Callithrix jacchus: one gene and its partners. Each later gene encodes a partner of the first gene's protein in a complex. Links are inferred from orthologs where the notes say so. Each region holds a gene or a part of one and is shown in the gene's direction. Other genes may lie near its edges.

What was found.
Region 2: the proteins of EGLN1 (region 1) and EPAS1 are in contact, whole or in part, in a crystal structure (PDB 7Q5X), measured with the Homo sapiens proteins. The link is inferred for Callithrix jacchus from reciprocal best matches to the Homo sapiens genes EGLN1 and EPAS1. Residues at the interface, in NP_071334.1 of Homo sapiens: Gln239, Leu240, Val241, Ser242, Lys244, Ile251, Arg252, Trp258, Asp277, Ile280, Arg281, Ile292, Asn293, Gly294, Arg295, Thr296, Lys297, Tyr310, Val311, Arg312, His313, Val314, Asp315, Pro317, Asn318, Asp320, Arg322, Arg370, Trp389, Tyr390; in NP_001421.2 of Homo sapiens: Asp525, Leu526, Glu527, Thr528, Leu529, Ala530, Pro531, Tyr532, Ile533, Pro534, Met535, Asp536, Gly537, Glu538, Asp539, Phe540, Gln541, Leu542.
Region 3: the proteins of EGLN1 (region 1) and HIF1A are in contact, whole or in part, in a crystal structure (PDB 3HQR), measured with the Homo sapiens proteins. The link is inferred for Callithrix jacchus from reciprocal best matches to the Homo sapiens genes EGLN1 and HIF1A. Residues at the interface, in NP_071334.1 of Homo sapiens: Gln239, Leu240, Val241, Ser242, Gln243, Lys244, Ile251, Arg252, Trp258, Lys262, Asp277, Ile280, Arg281, Ile292, Asn293, Gly294, Arg295, Thr296, Lys297, Tyr310, Val311, Arg312, His313, Val314, Asp315, Pro317, Asn318, Asp320, Arg322, Arg370; in NP_001521.1 of Homo sapiens: Leu559, Glu560, Met561, Leu562, Ala563, Pro564, Tyr565, Ile566, Pro567, Met568, Asp570, Asp571, Phe572, Gln573, Leu574.

The regions. Positions count from the first base shown.
Region 1 is NC_133520.1:53,461,374-53,468,795, forward strand, and holds the start of EGLN1 (egl nine homolog 1), read left to right. Parts: upstream 1-3,224; 5' UTR 3,225-3,635; coding exon 3,636-4,526; intron 4,527-7,422. UniProt on the Homo sapiens protein: Cellular oxygen sensor that catalyzes, under normoxic conditions, the post-translational formation of 4-hydroxyproline in hypoxia-inducible factor (HIF) alpha proteins.
Region 2 is NC_133515.1:68,436,744-68,444,208, reverse strand, and holds the start of EPAS1 (endothelial PAS domain-containing protein 1), read left to right. Parts: upstream 1-2,440; 5' UTR 2,441-2,764; coding exon 2,765-2,823; intron 2,824-7,465.
Region 3 is NC_133509.1:96,404,364-96,411,958, forward strand, and holds the start of HIF1A (hypoxia-inducible factor 1-alpha), read left to right. Parts: upstream 1-2,570; 5' UTR 2,571-2,867; coding exon 2,868-2,902; intron 2,903-7,595.

The DNA.
Region 1 (7,422 bases):
AACATTAAGGAGAAATAGGGCTACTCCTTGGAAGGTAGATTCTGGTCACTGGGCTTTCCTCAAAAGTCAACACAGTCGTTTCTAAATCCATTTCCTCCTTCAACTCTGTTCTTGTAGCTAACCTCAGCTTTGGCTCTTAGGTCAGCTTTGCCTCTTTTAGTTCTTGTCAGTTCACAGTGGCTTAAGTAAATACTGCCAGAAGAGCAAAGGGAAGCCAAATAGGTGGTCAATTAGCTTTGTCTAAGTTGGTTTGATATGGAGATGAAAGCACTCTTACTTTAATTCATTCTTCAGTTTCTGTAACAGTTGCTCTTGGTTAGATTGGGGGCAGGAAAAACATTTGTAATAATTTCTAGCTTTGAGAGACACAAGGCTTTGCTCGCCCCAGAGTATTAGTTAACCCACCTAGTGCTCCTAAACATATAATCTTAACGACTGGAAGGGACATTCATTGTCTCACTCTCTATTTGTTTCACCTTCTGTAAAATTGGCATAATAATAGTATCTACTTCATAGCATTACATGATGATTACATTATTTAATACTTGTAAAATGCTTAGAACACAGATTGGGCACACAATATTAAGCATCGCGTATGTTTATAAAATAAATTCCTCTGTGCTGCCTTCTGGTAACATTTAAATAAGTAAATAAATAAATTAAATATATTCTTCCATGACATTCTGAAGTCTGTCTATAAGAGCTGAGTAAGTGGCCACTGGTACAATGCTACCGGAGTTCCAGAATCTGGTTGGCGACAAGATTGTTCACCAGCAAATGGTGTGGTGAAACCTCACTAATTTGGAATTCGTTCAGATTATTAAGCCTGAATAGGTGGAAATCCTGAAATCAAGGATCTTTGGAACTATTTGAAATCAGTATTTTATATTTGTCCATTCTATTTTTAAAATATTGCAAGTGTTATACTTGATGGGTTAAGTATATTTAGGATATACATGTTTAATTTGTGATTTTGTATACTTAATTGGAACAAGAAAGCTTATAAAGGTTTTGATATAGACATCTATTCTTTTAAGTAAAATTCAGTTAAAATACATGAGAAGAGCATATAGAGATGTAAATAATTTTTGGACACACCATAGATTGAAATAGTGAATTTTAAAGAAATTGTTGTAAGAATCAAGTTTCATGGAATGAGTGTTCCTAGTAAAGTTCTTGCTCTTGTGAATAATTAATAATCACTTATAATTACTGTAGTAAAAGAAGGCCCAAGAGGTATTAGACTCTACTTTTATCTGTTATACTTTACATAATTTTTGTGTATGAAAAATGTTTTAAAAGTTTTTCGTAAGCCATGAGATAGCTGCTTTACATTTTAAGAATTTCTGAATTAATTTGCTTAGATTTTATTAGTGCAAACAGCAGAGCTAGATTCTTTCTAGATTCTAACATGAAATGTGTTTCTAAACTGCTGAATCAAAACATAGGTTCAACTCTCTGAGTTGAACACACACATAGCAAAGCAGTTTCACAGATAGCTTGCTTCTGGGTTTTAAAGCCAATTCCTTTTTCTGTGTTACCATTCCATCCTATTCATCCCTCTTTTAGGAAACTCCGAACTCTGGATTGTCCTTCTTTACATATCTGCCTCCTGCATTGGACTATGTGTCTCTGAGTGTAGTATGACTAATTCATTTGTTTGTCAAGGATAGTGTAGCACATGGTACACTCCCAATTCATCTGTTGAACAGCCTAATCAGTAATGTCTGCAACAATGACATTTTACTGTATTTAATAAAGCTCTGGGAAAGTAGGATACACATAAGACAGATCCAGGTCTTAATTCTTTACAGAAATGTGGATTTTTAGTTCGGTTTGGAATTTGAAGATGTGAGTATATTTACCTCAGTTTCCCAAATGACAAGCTGATTGAATTATTATCCTCTTCCACCTGACTGGATCCCCAGAATGCCATTTACGTATGTAGCAGACTTTTATAACAGTTTTAAATTATGTATATTTGATGAAGAGGTTTTATATTTTTGGATTCAAGCTTTATTTTTTTTAAATTCTACAATGTGGTTTATAGTAATTCCATACATCCTGCTTTTGAAATACATATTGCAGCTTCTTTAAGCTTGGAAGGCTATATCTCAAGGACTGAAGTTACAGTATATTCAAGTGATACACAAGCCTAGCACCGAATTTTCCACAGTAAGTGTTCGATAAAGACTGTTAAACTCTAAGTCACAGGCCTTTTTATTCTTAAGACAAATAACAGCAGAAACATCCTTGGCTTATTTATGGAAAGGTTTTTATGCTCTATAAAACAAAGAATTGTATCCATCAGCGTAGCACAGATTCTATTAAAAATAAATGTGAGAGTCGTTAATGTAGTAGTACTGCTCACTTACTACCAAAATTAACTTTTCAGGGATAATTCCATCAGTTTAAATTGGATATTGGAATAAGCACTCATTTGACTTGGTAGCCCAATCATGGGGGTTCGAACTCGGCGGGATTTCAAAGGTTTTAAAAATGTTTTTGATTTTAACCCTCAAATTTCATAACCTTTAAATTAGGTTGAAACGGGGCACAAGAGATTGGATTAACATCACAGTAATACTTATTTTTGTTCTTAACCATTTCACGGCTTCTTGAAATAGAGGCTGGATGGAGCAATGGAAAAAACAGCCTTGGAATCTGAGCGCCTGATTGCTGGATTCAGTCCCAGTCAGTTCTGCGTGACCTTGGGCAAGTTACTTTACTTCTCTGAATTTCCGTTTCCTCCTCTACAAAATGAGGATCACAGTAGCCACCTTGTAACCCTAACCCGAGCGCGCCTCGCACAACTCGCGCCCGCCTGCAGGAAGAGCAGCCATGATTACGCCGCCGCCGCCGCCGCTCCGCCACCCGCTCGCGGCCGGCGCCCTCCCCTAGCAGGTGTAGGCGCTGCCCGCGCGGCCCCACGCCTTTCCGCCGCTCGCGGGCCGGCCCCTCTGCGTCCCCGCGCAGGCCGCTGCGGGCTGAGGCAGCTCACCGGCCTCTGCGTCCCGGCCCCGCCCCGGGTGGACGGAGGGCGGGCGACCCGGCTCTGAGGCCGAGGTCCGGCCCCGCCAAGTGCGGAGGAGCGCAGGCGGCCCAGGCGCCGCGCCAGCGCCCAAGTGTGAGCGCGGCCCCCGCCCCTCGGCCCTCCCCCCGGCCCTCCCTCCGCCCCCTCCGCCCTCGCGCGCCGCCCGCCCGGGTCGCCGCGGGGCCGTGGTGTACGTGCAGAGCGCGCAGAGCGAGTGGCGCCCGCATGCCCTGCGCTCCTCCACAGCCTGGGCCGGGCCGCCCGGGACGCTGAGGCGGCGACGGCGGCCGAGGGGGCCGGTCTTACGCTCCCCAGGCCCGCGCGCCCGAGCCCAGGTTGCCGTTCGCCGCACAGGCCACGTTTTCTCAGCCCACGGCGGCGATGAGGCGCTAAGGCGGCCACCGGCTCTGCGCCGGAGCCTAGGACTCGGAAGCGGCCGGGCCGAGGGCGCGGGGTGCCGGCCTCCCTGAGGCGAGGGTAGCGGGTGCATGGCGCAGTAACGGCCCCGATTTCTCTCCCCGCTCCCCAGCCTCGGGCGAGGCCGTCCGGCCGCCACCCCTCCTGCTCGGGCGCAGCCGCCGCCGTTGCCGCCGCCGCCGCCATGGCCAATGACAGCGGCGGACCCGGCGGGCCGAGCCCGAGCGAGCGAGACCGGCAGTACTGCGAGCTATGCGGGAAGATGGAGAACCTGCTGCGCTGCAGCCGCTGCCGCAGCTCCTTCTACTGCTGCAAGGAGCACCAGCGTCAGGACTGGAAGAAGCACAAGCTCGTGTGCCAGGGCAGCGAGGGCGCCCTCGGCCACGGAGTGGGCCCGCACCAGCACTCCGGCCCCGCGCCGCCGGCTGCAGCGCCGCCGCCCAGGTCCGGGGCCCGGGAGGCCAGGAAGGCAGCGGCGCGCCGGGACAGCGCCTCCGGGGACGCGGCCAAGGCAAAGGCAAAGGCCAAGCCCGCGGCCGACCCCGCGGCGGCCGCGTCCCCGTCTCGCGCGGCCCCCGGCGGCCAGGCCTCGGCGGTGGCAGCGGAGGCCGAGCCCGGGAAGGAGGAGCAGCCGGCCCGCTCGTCGCTGTTCCAGGAGAAGGCGAACCTGTACCCCCCGAGCAACACGCCCGGGGATGCGCTGAGCCACAGCGGCGGCCTGCGGCCCAACGGGCAGACGAAGCCCCTGCCGGCGCTGAAACTGGCGCTCGAGTACATCGTGCCCTGCATGAACAAGCACGGCATCTGTGTGGTGGACGACTTCCTCGGCAAGGAGACCGGACAGCAGATCGGCGACGAGGTGCGCGCCCTGCACGACACCGGGAAGTTCACGGACGGGCAGCTAGTCAGCCAGAAGAGTGATTCGTCCAAGGACATCCGAGGCGATAAGATCACCTGGATCGAGGGCAAGGAGCCCGGCTGCGAAACCATTGGGCTGCTCATGAGCAGCATGGACGACCTGATCCGCCACTGTAACGGGAAGCTGGGCAGCTACAAAATCAATGGCCGGACGAAAGTAAGTGTGGGCTGCGGGTTTGCGCTGGACATGCCCTTCTCGGCGGGCAGCCCCTCTCGTGACGGTAACTGCCTAGGCTGAGGAGCAGCCTTCCTCTGTATAGAAAGGACTTTGTGTATAGCACCCCGTAAGGAAGACGGACAGAATTCGGGGTAACTGTTTGATCTGGTTAGCCGCTTTGTGTCCGCTGTTTTCCACTTACTGCCAGTCCACAGACTTCTCCGGCTAATTGCATAGTTTTCTGGCTAAACGTAGGCGCTTTAACTTTGCTACTTTCTTCTTTTCTTCCATTCCACTGTTAGTCACAATTCATTCCTTAGTGGCGTTTTAGCCACCCAGTGAGGGGGTGTTAGAGTACCACCCAAAGCAAGTCCTGATGCTGCATCTGTCTTGTGTTTGCATAAGCACTTAAATTTCCTGTGCTGTCTGAATCACTCGTCACATTTTGATTGAGAGTCAAACGCTGTGTTCAGTTAAGAATTTGCCGGCTGACCACAAAAAGGTAAATTTAAGCGTTTAGTCGAAAGACTCTCCATATTCAGGAAGAGCGTGGCTACTCCCCTCCCCCTCTTATAGCTCCTACCCTCTCCCTGTTCCTACTGTTTTGAAACCCATTACAAAAAGGGAAAAGAAGTATTTCCGTTTTCGGATCTCTCTGTGTAGGTAGGCTACATTTTTAGCATTGGTTTCCTTTATTTGCTTTGTTAATGTTATCCTTCTGTTGAAAAAGAACTGTTTTGTAGCTTCCTGGAAAAAACAACACGAAATTGGAGCAGGAGGACTTGTTTTATCCTCCCAATTTGGTGAGATCTTTTTGTTTTCTCTTTACTGTTGCGTTTTTTTCTCCACAGATTTCTTCACTTCCTACCTAGTCTATTTTCTCTTTTTCTCCCTCACGGTGCACTCTTTCTTCCTTAATACTCTCTTGCAGGTCTTATTCATTTTGCTTCTCAGATCTTGATCTTTTCTTTATATCCAGCTACTCCCAGGCCTCCCTCCTCCACCATCAGTCTCTGTCTGATTTTGTGAGTTTTGAGAGATGGACTTGGGAGAGCATCACACTTACATGTTTGTACACACATGCTGACTCTTCCCAGTGGTTTTTTTGGAGTGTGTGTGAGACCATCTGTTTTGACAGTCATTACATGTGATTCTCAGGCTGCTCGGAAGGCTGAACATAGGCAATGAGAAAAATTATAAACATGAAAATTTTGTGGGGAAAAATACAATGTGGAGTCTCATTTACGTATTGCCACTTCATTGCTGGGTGAAGGCACACATCTTAATTTCATGTAGTCTTACGAACAGTTGAATCATATTAAACTGGAAGGAAAAGGGGGATCTGATGAAATCTCAGCCTTGGTCTTTTACTAGCTTTTCATTGATACTTTTAAAAATGAACGTTGTCATGGAACACATCTGAACATAAGTCCTGAGCTCAGAGCAGGAAAGAAATTAGTTTGAGGGAACAGGGCTGTGAAGACTGACCAAAGTATATAGTTGGGACATAAGTTTAAATTGGATTCTTGAAGATGATGTCCCAAATCTTTCTTGATCTGCTTTCCTTAGTTAATTTAGCTTTCCAAGTCCTTTCACCTGTCATTCTTAGATAAGGGACAGCAGACAGCCTGGCTCTGAGAGCAGTTGCTTCTGGTAGGGATGCTATTAGAAAATAGCTACTGCCTTCCTCAAGAGTTCTAGTATTTGGGGTTTTAAGTCACCTAACTGTACCTAGTAACAGGTAATAAGGGACTGGATGAAGAAGGGATGGCCTTTAAACTCTTTGGATTTGATCTTATGCTTATATTAATTTTAGAGACACAACTTCAGGATCTATAAATGATATTCAGGAATTCCTTTAATTGTACTTCTTGGCTGAAAGAGGTTTTGGTAATTGTGTTTGAACATGTAAGTATTCCTGAAAAAACAAGGTTGTTTGCTTGGTGGAAATGAGAAGGCAATCAAAATACCACCCACTGTATATTGAGCAACCGCAGTGTGTTAGGCATCAGATTAGGGTCAATGCAGGTACAATCAGAGTAATTTTTTTTTTTTTTTTTTGAAGCAGGGGCTTCCTTTGTTGCCCAGGCTGGAGTACAAGGCTATAAGCATGGCCCACTGCAGCTTCCACTTCCTGGGCTCCAGCGATCCTACCACCTCAGCTTCGAAGTAGCTGGGACTGTAGGCACAGCTTGACTGTGCTGTGCTAGACCAAATGAAAAACATTTTTTTTGTAGGGTCAGGGTCTTGCTGATCATTTGATCTTGAACTCCTGGGCTCAGGTGATCCTCCTGCCTGGACCTCCCAAAGTGCTGTAGTTACAGACTTGAGCCACCTCTTGTGGCCACAATAATCTTTATGCAGTGGGTAGTGTTATTCGTAATTTACATTTGAGTGATTTTCAGCTCAGACTTGGCAGAGGTCTACCACTTATAGTAACCTAGCAGGTGTTCAGGCTTAAGTCATTCAGCTATCGAACTTAAGCTTTTTTTTTTTTTTTTTAACTACACTAGTTATAGGTAGAACATTAAATGAGATGTAGCTTACACACTGTTGGAACTGCAATTTGATATATATTTTTTGTTGAAAGGGGGTGAATAGTACTAGCTTTATATGTGAATAATCATACTCTATGGTTGGGCTCTAAAACTTTTTATTAGGTGACTGTGCAATGTTTATTTCAGATAGTGGCTGAAAAATCCACTTTTGTATATATCCACTTGAATTATGCACCTGTTGGTATAAGTGTTAAGAGATGTCAGAATATGGTTTTTGTATGTGATTGCAGAGGGAGACTTCAGTTTAGAATTTTATTATTCTTCGTAACATGATAGTGATTTTAAAAGTTCTGTGCAGCAGATGTGTAGTATTTTTCTCATGTCAGCTTTCAAAGCAG
Region 2 (7,465 bases), on another chromosome or scaffold:
CCTGAGGTCAGGGACAGTTGTTCTACATTTCATTCTACTGCTCACAGCCCCAGCAGAGGAAGAGGGAATCACTAATATAGGTTGAATTAGTGGAAGGAATAAGCCATTTCTGGGGGAAAAAGTACAATTCTGTTTCCCAAATTGCTCAATGTTATCATTTGAGATCATGATATAAATTTGGAGAAGACTTTTAGCATTTCCTGTGGCTTTTGATGACTTCTTTACAAAGGAATGGAAATGTGCACAGACATCTCACTTCTCATCAGAGCAAGAGGGGGCAGAATTGGGAGAAAGCAAGTGCTTGCACTGTGGCATGAATCAGATCCCACAATGCTGGACATGTGAACAGGCCTCAGATCAAGGTTCTTTATAAAGGAAGCCCCAGAGAGATTCTCTACCAGCTCATTCCTCTTTTCCTTTTCCTTTTTCTTTTTTTAACAGAGAGGGGAGAAGGGGTTATGGGATGGGGGTAGGAAGTGAGGGATCCCGTGCTTTCTCCCGCTTCTCTTGCTGTTTTGAAATACTTCAAATTCCGGGAACCAGAAGTTCTGCAACATGTTGGGATTAGTAAGGCAGAGTCTAGGATATTTCACTATTACCATGTGATCAAGCATCAGTCTTGATTAAAAGTCTAAACAAGTGTTGTTTTCTTTGAAATTAAAGTATCTGAAATAAGGAAGAGAGAACTGACCCTTAAAATCATATTCTGTACTTGAAAAGAGTTCTCTCTGACAACTGCCTGTCCGGGTTATGCACGTCACCACTCCCTTCACCTCCCCCACCCCCCTGCCTTTTTCCATCCAGAATGTTTGACGACATTGCCAGGGGAATTTCTGCCCCCTCCTTCCTGTATATACCCAGTGCTGGCCTCTGAGGCAGCCCAGCTCTGTTTTCTCATGACACAGTGATTATTTTTGGCATTGCAGATATTTTCTCTAATGCTATTACCCACCCCGCTTCTTGGTTGCCTTGTGTGGAGCAATCGTTTGGGTAACTCCCGGTAAATCTGAGGGTTAATTTTAGTTTGGTGTGGTAGAGGAGGCAGTGGGAGAGAGGAGGACAACTTCTACTCCGGAGCACCCCACCCCCACCTTAGAAGAACCAGAGAGGTCCTCTCACGCCCTGCTCATGAAAGAGCTTGCTTTCACCAGCTCTGTGCTCACCATTCATCCTTTCTGCTGGCGGGCTTGAGGATATGGATATCCAGAGGTGACGCTGGGGGCTGCACCTCGGGGATGGCATCTTAATGACTTGACTTGGCGGGTGTTAGAACAGCACCATTCAGAGTGAGTTCACTCCCTGCGCAGTTGGCTCGCTCAGCCTCTGTCCATAGAGTTCTCTTGTTCACGCTGCAGGAGGAAATGGAGATTTCCAAGTGGGAAGGAGCCTTCCCAATGTTTTAACTCTTCACTGAAGGGAAGAGGAGCTGTAGAGAGCGAAATAAAATCTGAGCCGCCCCAGCTGCAGCACCCAGGAGAGGAGCGAGGCTGGGCTGGGGATGGAGGCCAAGGCAGCTGGGATCACTTTTTCTTTCCTTCTGGAGAGGGAAAGGAAAAGAGTAAAGGGCATTTTTTGATTGTCTTTTACAATCTGTTAGCAAATGTTTGCCTAGTTTGTCTGCTCTGGCCCAGGTTCTAGTGAAGGGTACACCAAAGTAAAGGATGTTGTGTCTGTGCCCTTCCCCAGGTACTTATAGTCCAGTTTGCATAGAAAAGCCAGCAAGACAGGGAGACCTTTAATAAGAGCCTGTGAGTAATGTGGGCAGGAAGTGCTCTGGAGAATGCTGCTGAGGGGCCAGGGACACTGCTGGAGGAAGTAGGGCTTGAGCTGGTCTGAGGGGTGGGTTTTGAAGACATAGGAAGGGATAAAATGATACAGGTAGGGAAGACACGAAGGAGGAGAGGGACATCAATGTAGGGCTTAGTAAAATCCCATAAAGAAAGATACAAAGAGAATAGGATTCTTCCTGGCAAGAGAGAAGATCAGACTTGTTGGACTTTATGTACTTCAGATTAGGATGGCAGCGGGCAGCACTAACCCCCCCCCCCGCCTTTTTTTTTTGAGATGGGGTCTTGCTCTGTCGCCCAGCTGGAGTACAGTGGCATGATCTCAACTCACCGCAACCTCTGCTTCCTGGTTCAAGTGAGTCTCCTGGCTCAGCCTCCTGATTAGCTGGGATTACAGGCGCGTGCCACCATGCCCAGCTAATTTTTGTATTTTTAGTAGAGATGGGGTTTCACCACATTAGTCAGGCTGGTCTCGAACTCTGACCTCATGATCTGCCCGCTTTGGCCTCCCAAAGTGCTCCCAGTTGGCATCTTCAGTCTCAAGATTCCTCGTGTCTCTGCGTCTCTTTCTACTCAAAATGTGAGGTCACAGACCAGTAGAATCAGCATCATCTGGGAGGTTGTTAGAAAGGCAGAATGCCAGGCTCCAGCCCAGACCCTCCTAAACCTGCCCTGTAACAAGATCCCTGGGTGATTCCTGGCCACAGCAAAGTTTGGGAGGTGCTGCTCTGGGTGACTCCACAGGCAGTTAGCAGCAGCATTCGTTCAGACCCCAGATTTGATTGACAGAGGTGACAAACACCGACATACACACACACACACACACACACACTTTGAGTGTCCACAGGGTGACTCTTCCCAGATGGAAACCTTTTCTTCTAATCAAGAGCTGGGTTAGAATTCTTAGGAAAGATCTAGAACAGTGAGCAGCTTTGAGGAATCCACAGAACTGAAGTCATTGAAGTGGTTTCTATCTGATGTCTCCAGTTTGTACCACTTTGTACTACGGATGCTTTAGAGGACCCCAAAAGAACAGGTATGGGGTTCTTTCCCTGGGAAGTATGTAGTCTAGTTAGGGAGACAGAAGCCACAGAGGTGAAATCAAGGGAGAGCAACACAGGGCTGAATCGTGTGTGTGTAATCTCTGAAGTGGGACTTGGAGAAGTCAGCACAGGTGAGGCCTTCCTGGGGGAAACGGATGCTCGCTCTTGAAATATGAGCATAGTACAGACAGACCTAGGAGATGGAGAGAGTGTATTCTGGGCAGGGAGTGGGAGGGGCAGCAGCAGGAGCTAAGTCCCCTCTAGAGGCTGAAGGGGAGGGAAGGTACTCCCCACTTTCCCCAGGGAGTTCGCTTCATGCTGAGGAACTCATTTTACATCTCGGGCCCTTTCTTCTTGATTCTACTGCTGGCAATTTGTCAGTTTTCTTAGCTGAAGGCAGTATTGTAGGAACAGGATGGCAGCACAGGCAGAACAGTTTGAGCCAAACCACAGATTGTGCTGCTGGAAGCTTGTGACATCCAAAGGAAGAAGGCTGCTGATGGGTAGAAGCCCTAAGGAAAAAATCTCAATCAGATCTGGTAACAGCCTGAGTGTGGGGAAATACCTCTAAGCCCAGAGAGGTGGCACCAAAGAAAACAGTCTACTGAGAAGGAAACAATCTATGGCAGCTGTAGACTCCACAAGCAAAGTAAAAGTACAAACCGTTTTTTTTTTTTTAAAGACTTCTCCAAGCTAAGAACTATCCCAAGGGGGCTGGCCTGCCCACTGAGGGGCTGACCTCAGGCAAGAGGGTGGCCAGCATGTCTCACTTTGCTGCTTCTCACACCAAGTGTATGTTTCAAAAAGCTCATCAGATTTCGCATCCTACAAGGCTTGGCCCTCAATATGGACAGCTCAGCTAACTTTTTGAACCTGTAATAGGGATTTGCTTATTGGCCTTGTAGGGAAGTCACCCAATTACAATCAAGAATATGGGATTTAGGGTCACATGATCCAGGTTTGAGTGCTGGCTTCATCATTGGGTGATGGCTGGGCATGCCACTAACATCCCGGAGGTCTGTCTCCTCATGTGTAAAATTGGAGTGATATACCTGCCCCACAAGATTGATTCAGGATTAAACAGAGGCAGTTCTCTACCGGAAAGAGTCACATGTTGTTGTTTCTGGGTTGTATAGTCAGTAGCTCAGCTTGCTGAGGTTAATTAGTCCCTTAGCTGAAATCTGCGTGGTGTCAGGGGTCCGGCAGTGGCAGAGCTCAGAGGCTGCAGAGAGCAGTGGAGAGGGAGGCAAATGCCCCCTGCACCCACTGGCTTTCTCCCCACTTTTTCATAAGCGAAGATGGTACAGAGTCTTCTCTATACATCCCTGTGGTGGGAAAGATGGAAAGAACACTTTATTTTTACACTGGGGGAAGATCAACAAGGGTGGCCCTTTTTCCAGAACTAGATTAGAGTCAAAGGAAGCCTCCAGTTTTAGCACAGCTGGTCTTCTCTCTTCAGATGCTTTGACCTGCAGACAGCATGAGGAAGAGAAGCAGTCTAGATAGAGCTCGCGATGGGGAAAGGGGGCTGAGCCTGGGTCCAAGGCCGAGGCCATTGCGCATTCTGCCTTCCTTTCCCGTGATACTGCCCTCTGAAGTAGTGCGGCCCGTGCTCTGAGCTCCGTAATGCTGGCTGTGGTCCTGAGGATGCCAATGTTGCCAAATTTGCTGACTCAGCTTTCATGGGGTGAGGGTGGGGTCACTGTGAGGTGGCTATGGGGAGCTGGCAACAAGCTGGATACTTATCTTTTATTATAAAAATACGCAATACCTGATGCCAAGGTAGTCATCATAGTGTTATTTATAACAGCTAAAAATTAGAAACCATAACTGAAAAGCAATAAGGGAATAGCAAAATGCATTGTGGTCCAGCCACATGATATGATACTGTGGGCTACTATGAATATTTCGAAAGAATTCTTAATAATGGGACATCCTGTTAAGTAAAAAGAGCAAAGTAAAAATTTATAAATCCAATGAGATCTCACTTCATTTTCTTCATATCTTTTTGTATTTTCCAAGTTGCTTATACTAAATATGCATTACCCTTATCTTCACCGAGGCAGTTTTAAAAAGGAAATTATGTGTTGGGAAAAGCTAGGTTATATGATGGACAGATAATGAAGGTCTGCTTGTAATTGTGCCGCGTGTCCAGTGCTGCTTGGCAGCAGGCTGTCTGTTCACAGGGCCTTGAAAAAGCCAGAACTCGGGGGTTTTGTTCCAGTTCCACATACTCCCATTACCTTTCTAAACCTGTGTTTCCTTATCCCTAAATGGGAATGATGGTAGCTGCTCTTCCTGTCCTACTGTGTGAAATTTGTAAGTTTAGTTACAGATTTCCAGATTGACTCACAAAGTGTTTTACAGATTATAATGTGTGATCCAAATGTAAAGTGGTACTATTCACTAATATGTAGAATAAAGAATGCCCCACTGTCTTAGCCCATTTGGGCTGCTACAAGGTACCATAAACTGAGTAGCTCATAAACAACAGTTTCATTTCTCATGGTTCTGGATGCCTATCAGATTCAGTGTCTGGTAAGCGCCCATTTTCTGGTTCATAGATGGTGCCTTCTTGCTATGTCTCCACATGGTGGAAGGGGTGAGGGGATTCTGCTAGGCCTCTTTTACAACTGCACTAATCCCATTCACGAGGGCTTCACTGTCATGACTTAATCACCTCCCAACAGTTCCATTTTCAAATATCATTACATTGGGAGTAAGAATTTCAACATAAGTATTTTGAGAGGACACAAATATGCAGACTGTAGCACCCACTAAGGCTTGGGCTTGATGACGCTAAGCACAGGGACAGTTCATTATGATTACTCCTGTGTATGCACAGCTTTTCCCAGCTGGGCTGGGAAGTCCACGTGTCCTCCGGTTACGTAAAGAGCTGGGTTATCTGAAGCCCCAGATGCGCTGCTTAGTAATTGAATCTGCTGCTCTCTTCTACAAGGCTGCCTGGGGCTGAGAGGGCCAGAGGATAAGCATCTCCAAACAGCCCAGACAGAATTGACCATTAGAGGGCCACGTTGGGTGTGCCCCAGACATTACTGTCAGCTCCAACGGCAATCCAGGCCCTCTGCTCTGGGGACACAGACCATCAGAGTAGGTCAGAGCTGGAGGCTCAGCCCCAGCGGAGGGGAGGTTGGGAGGCTGAGGTATGAGATGCTTTCCAGGATCCTCCTTCAGGAAAGTGGCAAGTGAAAGCATTCACCCCTGTTTTAGCCACTGCAGCTTCATGTCTTCCCTCTTCTTTGTCCTGTCTTGTAGATTTTTGATATACTAGTCTGGATTATTAGTCTTATCTCCCAGATGAGCTGTGGTCTCTTTCAGGATAGAGACCATGCTCCTCAGGAGAGGTATGTGTATTAAAGCATATGAATGTCTTTTTTCCCTTGTCAAAGTCTGTCTGATCTGGCCAGCTTCTTCTGAATTTGCTAATTTCATGTTTTCTGTTCTGAATTTGTAACTTTTTGTTGTTTTGCTTTGAGATGGGTTCTCACTCTGTCACCTGGGCTGGAGTGCAGTGGGGCATGGCTCACTGTGGCTGTGAGCTCCCATGTCAAGGGATCCTCCTGCCTCAGTCTCTTGAGTACCTGGGACCACAGGTATATGCCACAATGCCCAGCTAATTTCTAATTTTTTTTTTTTAGAGATGGGTTCTTGCTATGCTGCCCAGGCTCGTCTCAAATTCCTGGGATCGAGCAATCCTCCTGCCTCAGCGTCCCAAAGTGCTGGGATTATAGGCATGAGTCACTGTGCTTGGCCTATTTTCTGTCTTCACCGTCTAACACTGATACCTTTCCTCCCCTATGTGATAGATTCCCCTACTGATCACTGCAGCCTTTGGACATCAGAATGTATCCAGAACGCTGGCCACTGGAACACTGCCTTCATCTCAAACATTTTTGTCACTCCTTTGGAATGGCCCTCAGAGCTAAGGCCATTCTTTTCAATGCCTTCAATTATGGCAAAGCCTTACCTTTTGAGGGTACTTTTTATCCTATCACCCAACCACAATCCATCCACAGCTAAGTCTGGTGACTAACGGGGTGGGTAATATTGTTTGGGGTTTGAAATGAAGTGTGTCCTTTGAAGAAAAAATCGGATTTTCTTATGTGGCTCTGAAGTTAATTCTAAAAAGACTTCCCAAAAGACAGAGCAATGGCCACCTACCAGCATTCAGTTATAGGCTTCTCCCAAGGTGGCTTCTTTGAAGGGTAGCCACCTTCTATGTGGCATTATTTCAGATGTCTCCTTATCTTCACCTCCTCCTTCCTATTAGCCACAGTGTGTGGTACAGTGGTGGTCACACCAACTCCTAGATAAATAACTGTTTGGCTTATGATGGTGACCTCACATTTGTGGGACACAGTGAATGTGGACACAGTGCATGGTGGAGGAAGAGAGTGTGATACATTTTAGAAGTGGATCTGGGCGTCAGTCTTCCACAGACACGTGATCACAGGCCTAGAAAACTATGTATTAATAAGTCCTCCAGGTGATTCTGATGCAGGCTAAAATTAAGAACCACTGCTTTGCAAAAATGGGGCTGATAACACTGCCTCATTGAGGATCAAATGATACTGTTTATTAAATACACCTAGCCCTGGTGCTAAATAAATGTCA
Region 3 (7,595 bases), on another chromosome or scaffold:
CTGAGGCAGGAGAATTGCCTGAACCCAGGAGGCCGTGATTGCGGTGAGCCAAGATGGCGCCATTGCACTCCAGCCTGGATAACAAGTGCGAAACTCCATCTCAAAAAAAAAAAATAATAACTTTTGTTGATCAAATTATTTTTCTGCTTGAAACTTTTGAAATGATCCAAAAAATTTTTAAATGACTTAGGTTTGCTATTACAAAATGCTTGTCTTTTGATGTCACAAACATATACTATAATTACTGGCCAGAGAGAATTGCTCTAAGTGTAATGAAAAGAGAAATGATTGATGAGCAGCTATGCTTATAAGTGAGGGTGAGAACACCATGGGCAGTTCCAAAGCTGAAAACAGAAAATATATGTGGATTTATATTAACATAATTGGTATTCCTGGATAGTTAAAAATGGCTAAACTGTAGCAGAAGCCCAAGTAATTACTGTTAACAGAGGCATAAATTTGCGGGCAATAATAATAATAGACCAGGCATGGTGGCTCATGCCTGTAATCCCTGTACTTTGGGAAGCCAAGGCAAGCAGATCACCTGAGATAAGGAGTTCAAGGCCAGCCAGGCCAACATGATGAAACCTTGTCTCTACTAAAAATATAAAAATTATCTGGGTGTGGTGGTGGGCACCTGTCATCCCAGCTCCTTTGGAGGCTGAGGCCAGAGAATCACTTGAACCTGGGAGCAGAGTTGCAGTGAGCTGAGATTGCACCACTGCACTCCAGCCTGGGGGACAGAGCAAGACTCCATCTCAAAATAATAATAATAATAATGCCACCAACAATACTAACATTTACTGAGTGCTTACTATGCACCAGATATTGTTCTAAGTGTATACATATTATCTCATCTAACCATCCATAATACTGTGGTACAGACACTTTTATATCCATTTTACAAATAAGTAAACTGAGGTATAGAGATATTAAATGACTTGCCAGTAAGTTTCAAAGCCTGTGTATAAGCTCACTCTTGATTCTGGAGACAGTGATTCTTAACATAGTATCTTCAGAATGTTAAACTAAAAGATTTGTAATTTACAGAATTAGTTTTTCCACAATTAAAAAAGAAATTATGAGTAATTATTTTGAGTTCTCTTCAGGCATTTCCCTTAGTTCTTTTCAAGATCTAATACATATCATTTAGTGTTGTAGATCTGATAAACAAAAGTAGCACAAAGATCAAAGTTTTTTTAGAGATGGAGTCTCGTTAGGTTGCCTAAGCTGGAAACTCCCTAGGCTGGCACTACCAGGCTCAAGGAATCCTCCAGCCTCACCCCGCTCAGTAGCTGGAAACATCTTGTCAGCTAGGTCAACATTTAATTATAACTTTATAGGTCTACTGACCAGTTAAAAAGAGGTGCTGTATACATTAGTTGTTGTCAGAGTTTGATGTCTTTATATAGGCCATTGTTTTTACATGCTAATACAATTGAAAGCCAATACGGATATCTCTGTTTACATCCCAAAGCTAGGTTTTAACAAGAAACTCATAAGGCAAAGGTGAGAAGTAAAATAATTTAGTATCAAGTGGAGATATATTTGCAACGTTCCTTGGTTGAGCTCAAAATATATTCTTTTTTTCTTTTAAAAGACTGACAGGCTTGAAGCTTATGCCTCCAAAGACAAAAGTGATTATTTAGTAGCTTGCAAAGTTGCCAAAGGCCATTTTTTTCTACTGAATTTGGTTTATACTCTTATTAAGGTCATTTATACCTATTTGTAACTGCTTAACATAGTTTCAGATTTTAAGATTTCCCTGCAACTTCATTTCCCCTGAGGTTTACAGCAAGAGAAGTTAGTTTTTATTTTTAATTAAACTCCACCACAGAAAAACTTAGTGGACAAGGAGAGTTCCCCTGTGTTCCATGGCAGAGTGCGGTGGGTGACACTGACCCGTGGTTAGGTAACCTGACAAGGAAAGACCCGTTGTAACACATCTGAACAATGAGACCAATGGAAGGGCTTGCTGCCACGAGGCGAAGTCTGCTTTTTTGAACTAGGAACTCAATCAGAGTTGGGCGGCAATCCTGCCCAGCACTGCGGCGGAAGAGAAAGAGAGCCGGAGCCTTACATTACTGCACCAAGAGTATGAAAATATGATGCAGGTTTGGGACCCGGCAACTGAAATCCCTTCTCAGCAGCGCCTCCCAAAGCTGGCCACCGCCTTCCTTAGGAGAAAGCCCAGAGTCCCCAGACCCGGGCTGAGCCGCGCCCCCAGCTCTTTTCTCTTTCCTCCGCAGCTAAACACAGACGAGCACGTGAGCGGGGCAGCGCGTCCCAGCTGTGCCTCAGCTGACCGCCTCCTGATTGGCTGAGAGCGACGTGGGCTGGGGTGGGGACTGGCCGCCTGCGTCGCTCGCCATTGGCTTTCGGGGAACCCGCCTCCACCTCAGGTGAGGCGGGCCTGCGGGAGCAAGCGCCGGCCCGAGCAGGCGGCGGGCGCGCTCCCGCCCGCTCTCCCCTCTCCGTGCGCCGGAGCGCGCTTCCGCCTCCTCTCCCCTCCCCGCGCGCCGGAGCGCGCCTCCGCCCTTGCCCGCCCCCTGCCGCTGCTTCAGCTTCTCAGTGCACAGAGCTGCCTCGTCTGAGGGGACGCGAGGATCACCCTCGTCGTCGCTTCGGCCACTGCGTCGGGCTGGGCCCTGACAAGCCGCCCGAGGAAAGAGGCTCGGAGTCTGGCCCGGACCCCGGCGATTGCCGCCCACTTCTCTTCCTTCTGGTCTCACGAGCGGTTTCCCGCCTCGCACCTCCACCTCTGGACTTGCCTTTCCTTCTCTCTCCGCGTGTGGAGGGAGCCAGCGCTTAGGCCGGAGAGAGCCGGGGGGCTGCCCGCCGTGAAGGCACGCGGGGACCGATTCACCATGGAGGGCGCCAGCGGCGCGAACGACAAGAAAAAGTAAGCCTATTCCCTCGGCCGGCCGCCTTCGCCGGCGCCCCTGCCCGCCGGCCCGCCCTGGGCTCCCGGGCCAGCGTCGGCGTTCCTGGGGGTGGGGGGGGGCAGCCTTTTTTGTTTCTGCCGCTTCTCCTCTCCCCTCTCTTTCCCCCAACCTCGCCGGCCAGGCTCCCCCGCTGTCCACGTCGCCATCTTGTCGTGGGGGGTGGGAGACGCCTCTAAAGTGCTTTCAGGGGCCGGGGTCTGAGCCCTGCTCGCCCTCCCCGCCGGCCGTGGGGGCCTCGCGCCGCCCACCTACCCGCCTCAAAAACCCAGCCTGCTCTGTGGCCCCATCCGGAGGGGACTTTACCCAGCCCGAAAACCCCGAGAAGAGAAATGAGCTGCAGCTCGGTCGTCGCGGTTTGCACCCGGAGCTTCCGCTCCTTCCCGCCCCCATCCCCTCCGGTTCCATTGAAAACTCGGCCCTGGGGCGGACCCTGCACGCTGGTCCTGTCTTCCCTGTGGGCTCCCGGCCCTGAGTTCCGGACCGACGGACTCGCGTGGTCGGATGCGATCTTGTCCTGTGGTTGTCCAGCCGTCGCGGGTGTCTTTGCCTTTGTGCATTAAGGGATTTGCCGCGATGGCTTTAAGATGCGAACTTTTTAGTTTGCACGTGCAGGTTTTGTTTTAATCGCCTTGAAAAACTTGCCTAGACCGAGAGTCAGAGTAACGGGAATTTAGGGAAATAGCAACATTTTAAAGAGAACTTCAGAATTGAATACTTGTGTTCATATCACCTGTCACGGCAACGCAGATATTATAAATGAATATATGCCTCATTAATTCTTGAAATAGTGAAAATGTAGGGGCTGATTAAATGTAGGCAGTTTTAGTGATATTGAAGAAAAAGCGTATGATGAGTTAATGAAATACGGCACTAAAATGATGCAAAAATTTTGGAATTGTCTCATTTTTCTGAAATCGAAGTATATTAAAGGAAAACCTTTAACATATATCCAAAGTAAATAATCACTCGGTTAGAACTGAATCCGAGTTTTATAAATCACCTTGAAGTTGTAGTCTAAGGGGTACATTAGATATTAAAAATTGTGATTTGTACCAGTGGTGTTAAGAGCTAACTTCCCCATCCCTCAACACACACACACAATTTTGTCCACTTTGGTATTTAAACTTTTAAGGAAATTATTTTAAGGAATTGAAGATTTAGAGTAAGAGTTTTGGTTAGTAGACTGGCTTTGCTGGCAAATCCTTCCACTCTCTGGGAGAGAGATTAATTTCCCTAATCAGTATCAGCAGAAGATAAACTTGTTTATATTCTTGTTGTTTTGTAGATCCCTTCTCCTGGTCCCTCTTCAGTAGAATGTTAAATTTTCAGTTTGTGTACACCAGAGAAGGCACTAATAAAATTCAAAAAGTGAGCGAACAGGTCTAGATTAATTCCAACAGTTACCAGGAATTAATTGCAGTTTATTTTGCGGAGGTGATTACAGTGCTTTTGATGAAATGATGAGCTGCTATATTGTAAACCTAAGGCAGATTGCCTCTCTATAGTGCCAATTTTCTGTCCTTATTATATATTGAACCATACTTAATACAATGCATTAAATTATGCACCAATCACTTCCTTTTTATATACAGTATCGAACTCATTTCTTTGCCATTCATCAGTTCAGAATGTCAGAAGCAGCTTTGAAATAAGTGAATAAATAAATTAGCTACTGTTCCTCAGCCCCAATTCTAAATGAGTTTCTTAGATTTTCCTCAGCCCATGTGTTACTTTCAAAATGTTCTCACTTAAAAAGTTAGAACCTTGGATAGAATGGACTCACATTTCTTAATATAGAAGATCTTGATATAACCGAGAAATTAAGTTAAACACTTAATAAATGGTGGTTACTCAACACTTTTAGATGCTGTTTATAACAGATGACCTTTTCTAACTAATTTACAGTTTTTTGAAAGATAACGGAGATTGGGGGATGGGGATTTTCTTCATGCAGTTTTTTTTTTTTTTTTTTTTTTTTTTCGTTTGAAATGAGCTCCCAGTGTTGGAGTTTGGGAAACAAATTTGTCTTTTTAAGAGAAGGTCTAGAAAACTCAAAACCTGGAGAACTGGAAGAAATCAGAATAGAAAATGGGTATAGTTATAATATTAGAGATTTAACATAGGACATTTCATGTGGGTTCCTTGTTATAGGGGCTGGACTTTAATAGAACGTGTATTTTGATTTTTAGATTTGTAAAGGAATGTCAAGAAAGTAATGATTCTGTTTCAGGCTTCAGGCCAGACCACTTCAAAGTTTTGCGAAACAAGTAGTTACTGAATCATTAAAGTAAAATTTCTGACAATAGATATTCCTTAATTTCCTTCTTTAATTTTGGACGTTAAAAGTCAAGAGGCTCTCTCGTTTATTAGCAAACTTTTCTCCTTAGAATTCTACTTTGATTTTCCTTTTGTTTGAGGAAGCAGCATATAATGATTAAGAGCATAGGATCTGGAGTCAGATACCTCGAGTTAAGGGTCCCAGCCCTTCACTGGTGAGCTTGAGCAAGTTACTGAATGCCTCTGAGCTGTTTTCCTCCTTTTGAAATGATAAGAATAGCAGCCATCTGAGCAGTTATTGTAAAGATTAAATGAGATAATGCATATAAAGCAGTTAGTTGCCTGGAATAGGAGTCTTGGTGACATTGTGTACTTGAAAATAGATGTTGCTTGTTAAAATTGTGATTTAAACTTCCACAACTCTTAGAACTCTTTTTGCTAGGCCTTCCAGCTATTAACTTTAGTTTCTTTTCTGCATCTTCATGCATCTTTCCTATCTTCTGAAAGTGAAAAGACTAACATTGGATCCAGAGTTTTAAAGGACTTTTTCCCTGCTAAAATGGGCAAAAGAGTACATCCAGCCGGGCGCAGTGGCTCATGCCTGTAATCCCAGAACTTTGGGAGGCCGAGGCCGGTGGATCACGAGGTCAAAATATCGAGACCATCCTGGTCAACATGGTGAAACCCCGTCTCTACTAAAAATACAAAAAATTAGCTGGGCATGGTGGTGCGTGCCTGTGATCCCAGCTACTCAGGAGGCTGAGGCAGGAGAATTGCCTGAACCCAGGAGGCGGAGGTTGCGGTGAGCCGAGATTGCGCCATTGCACTCCAGCCTGGGTATCAAGAGCGAAACTCCATCTCAAAAAAAAAAAAAAAAAAAAAAGTACATCCTGGGGTTATGTTGGCATCTAGCATCAGCTATTTTTCTTGAGCATCTGATCTACTCTGTATTCTAGGCCTCCTCCTTCAGAATTCCTCACCCCTGCGTTTTCTCCCCAAATAGAATACTTTGAATTTACTCTGGAAGCTAGAGTCAAACATACACAATATTCTAGTCTTACTGTTAATTTAAGCAAGATATGTGCAGGACACTGCACTTAAAACATTTTTTGGCTTGATGCCAAAGTTTAGACTATTTTATAAAAATTAACCTTTGTAAGATAATGAGTTGATAAAATATTCTCAGTAAAGCCCCTATATGGTAGAAAAACTGTCCTTTGAGTTTCTCCAGAGTTCAGACCATTGGGTTCCATCTGAAGGCAAGGCCTCAAGGTTGTCTTACTGGTCTGAGTTTTGTGGTTCAATTTGTAGGAAGTCTATATTAGTGCACTCTTTCATACATGTGTATTTACTGAGCTATCAAGTTATTTTAGACCTAGAAAGTATTGGAGTTCATTCCTATGGTCCACTGCAGAACACCTTGTTTAGTTTGGAGAATGTCAGCCTTTCTACCTGTTAACTTCCATTGTCTTTCCTTTTAACGCGTTGTCTTTCCTTTTAACGCATTGTCTTTCCTTGTCTTTCCTTTTAACGCGTTGTCTTTCCTTGTCTTTCCTTTTAACGGGTTGTCAATGGCTCTAATGGTGTCTGGGCTCAGGGTTTAGTTTGTGGCTACATTCTATTGTTGTATGTCAAGAGTGGTGTATAGAAAGCTGAGGGGATTTAATTAGTCTTTGGACTGATTGTATTTTTTCCTGAAGAACTCAAAACAGTTTATGATCTTTGGTGGTGAAATTAAAAATTTTTGTGCATAGATGTTAAAGATTGGGTTAAATAACTGCGTGTTCATAGATGCCTTCTCTCAAAAATTTTTTAAAATTTAGATACTTGCAATACAGTATCCCTTTATCTAAGATTAATGTAAGTCCATTTCTTAACCAGGAGAAAATAATCTAAATTTAAATGTGTTGTTGGATGAGTTTCCAATCAAGAAATTCATTTTTTAAACTTTGTGACTAGTTATCCAGTGGGTGGATTTTACCCACTGTGTGTATGTGTTTTCTGCTTAGCTCTGAAAGGTTAGAAACAGAATTTGAAAGTAAGACAAACCAACCTTCTTGTTGCTCAGTATTTTTGGTAAAAAATATGGTGAGAATGTTTAAATTAACCATAGGCTTTGGAATTTTAAAAATAATGTGTCTCTTGACACATCAAGAATTAACTATTTTGTATATGCATTGAGTATTCATGTTCATGCTTTCTGCAGTAGAAATTTATAAACCCGTATCTACTTGCCTGACATGATCCCTTTAGAGAAACCTAGTATCTAAAATCTGAATTTATGAAACAAAATTAAACATTCTTGTTTCATAAAAACAAAAATTGTGATTACTTCATGGCTTTTTTTTAATAGCTTTTTATTGTTTCTTTTAT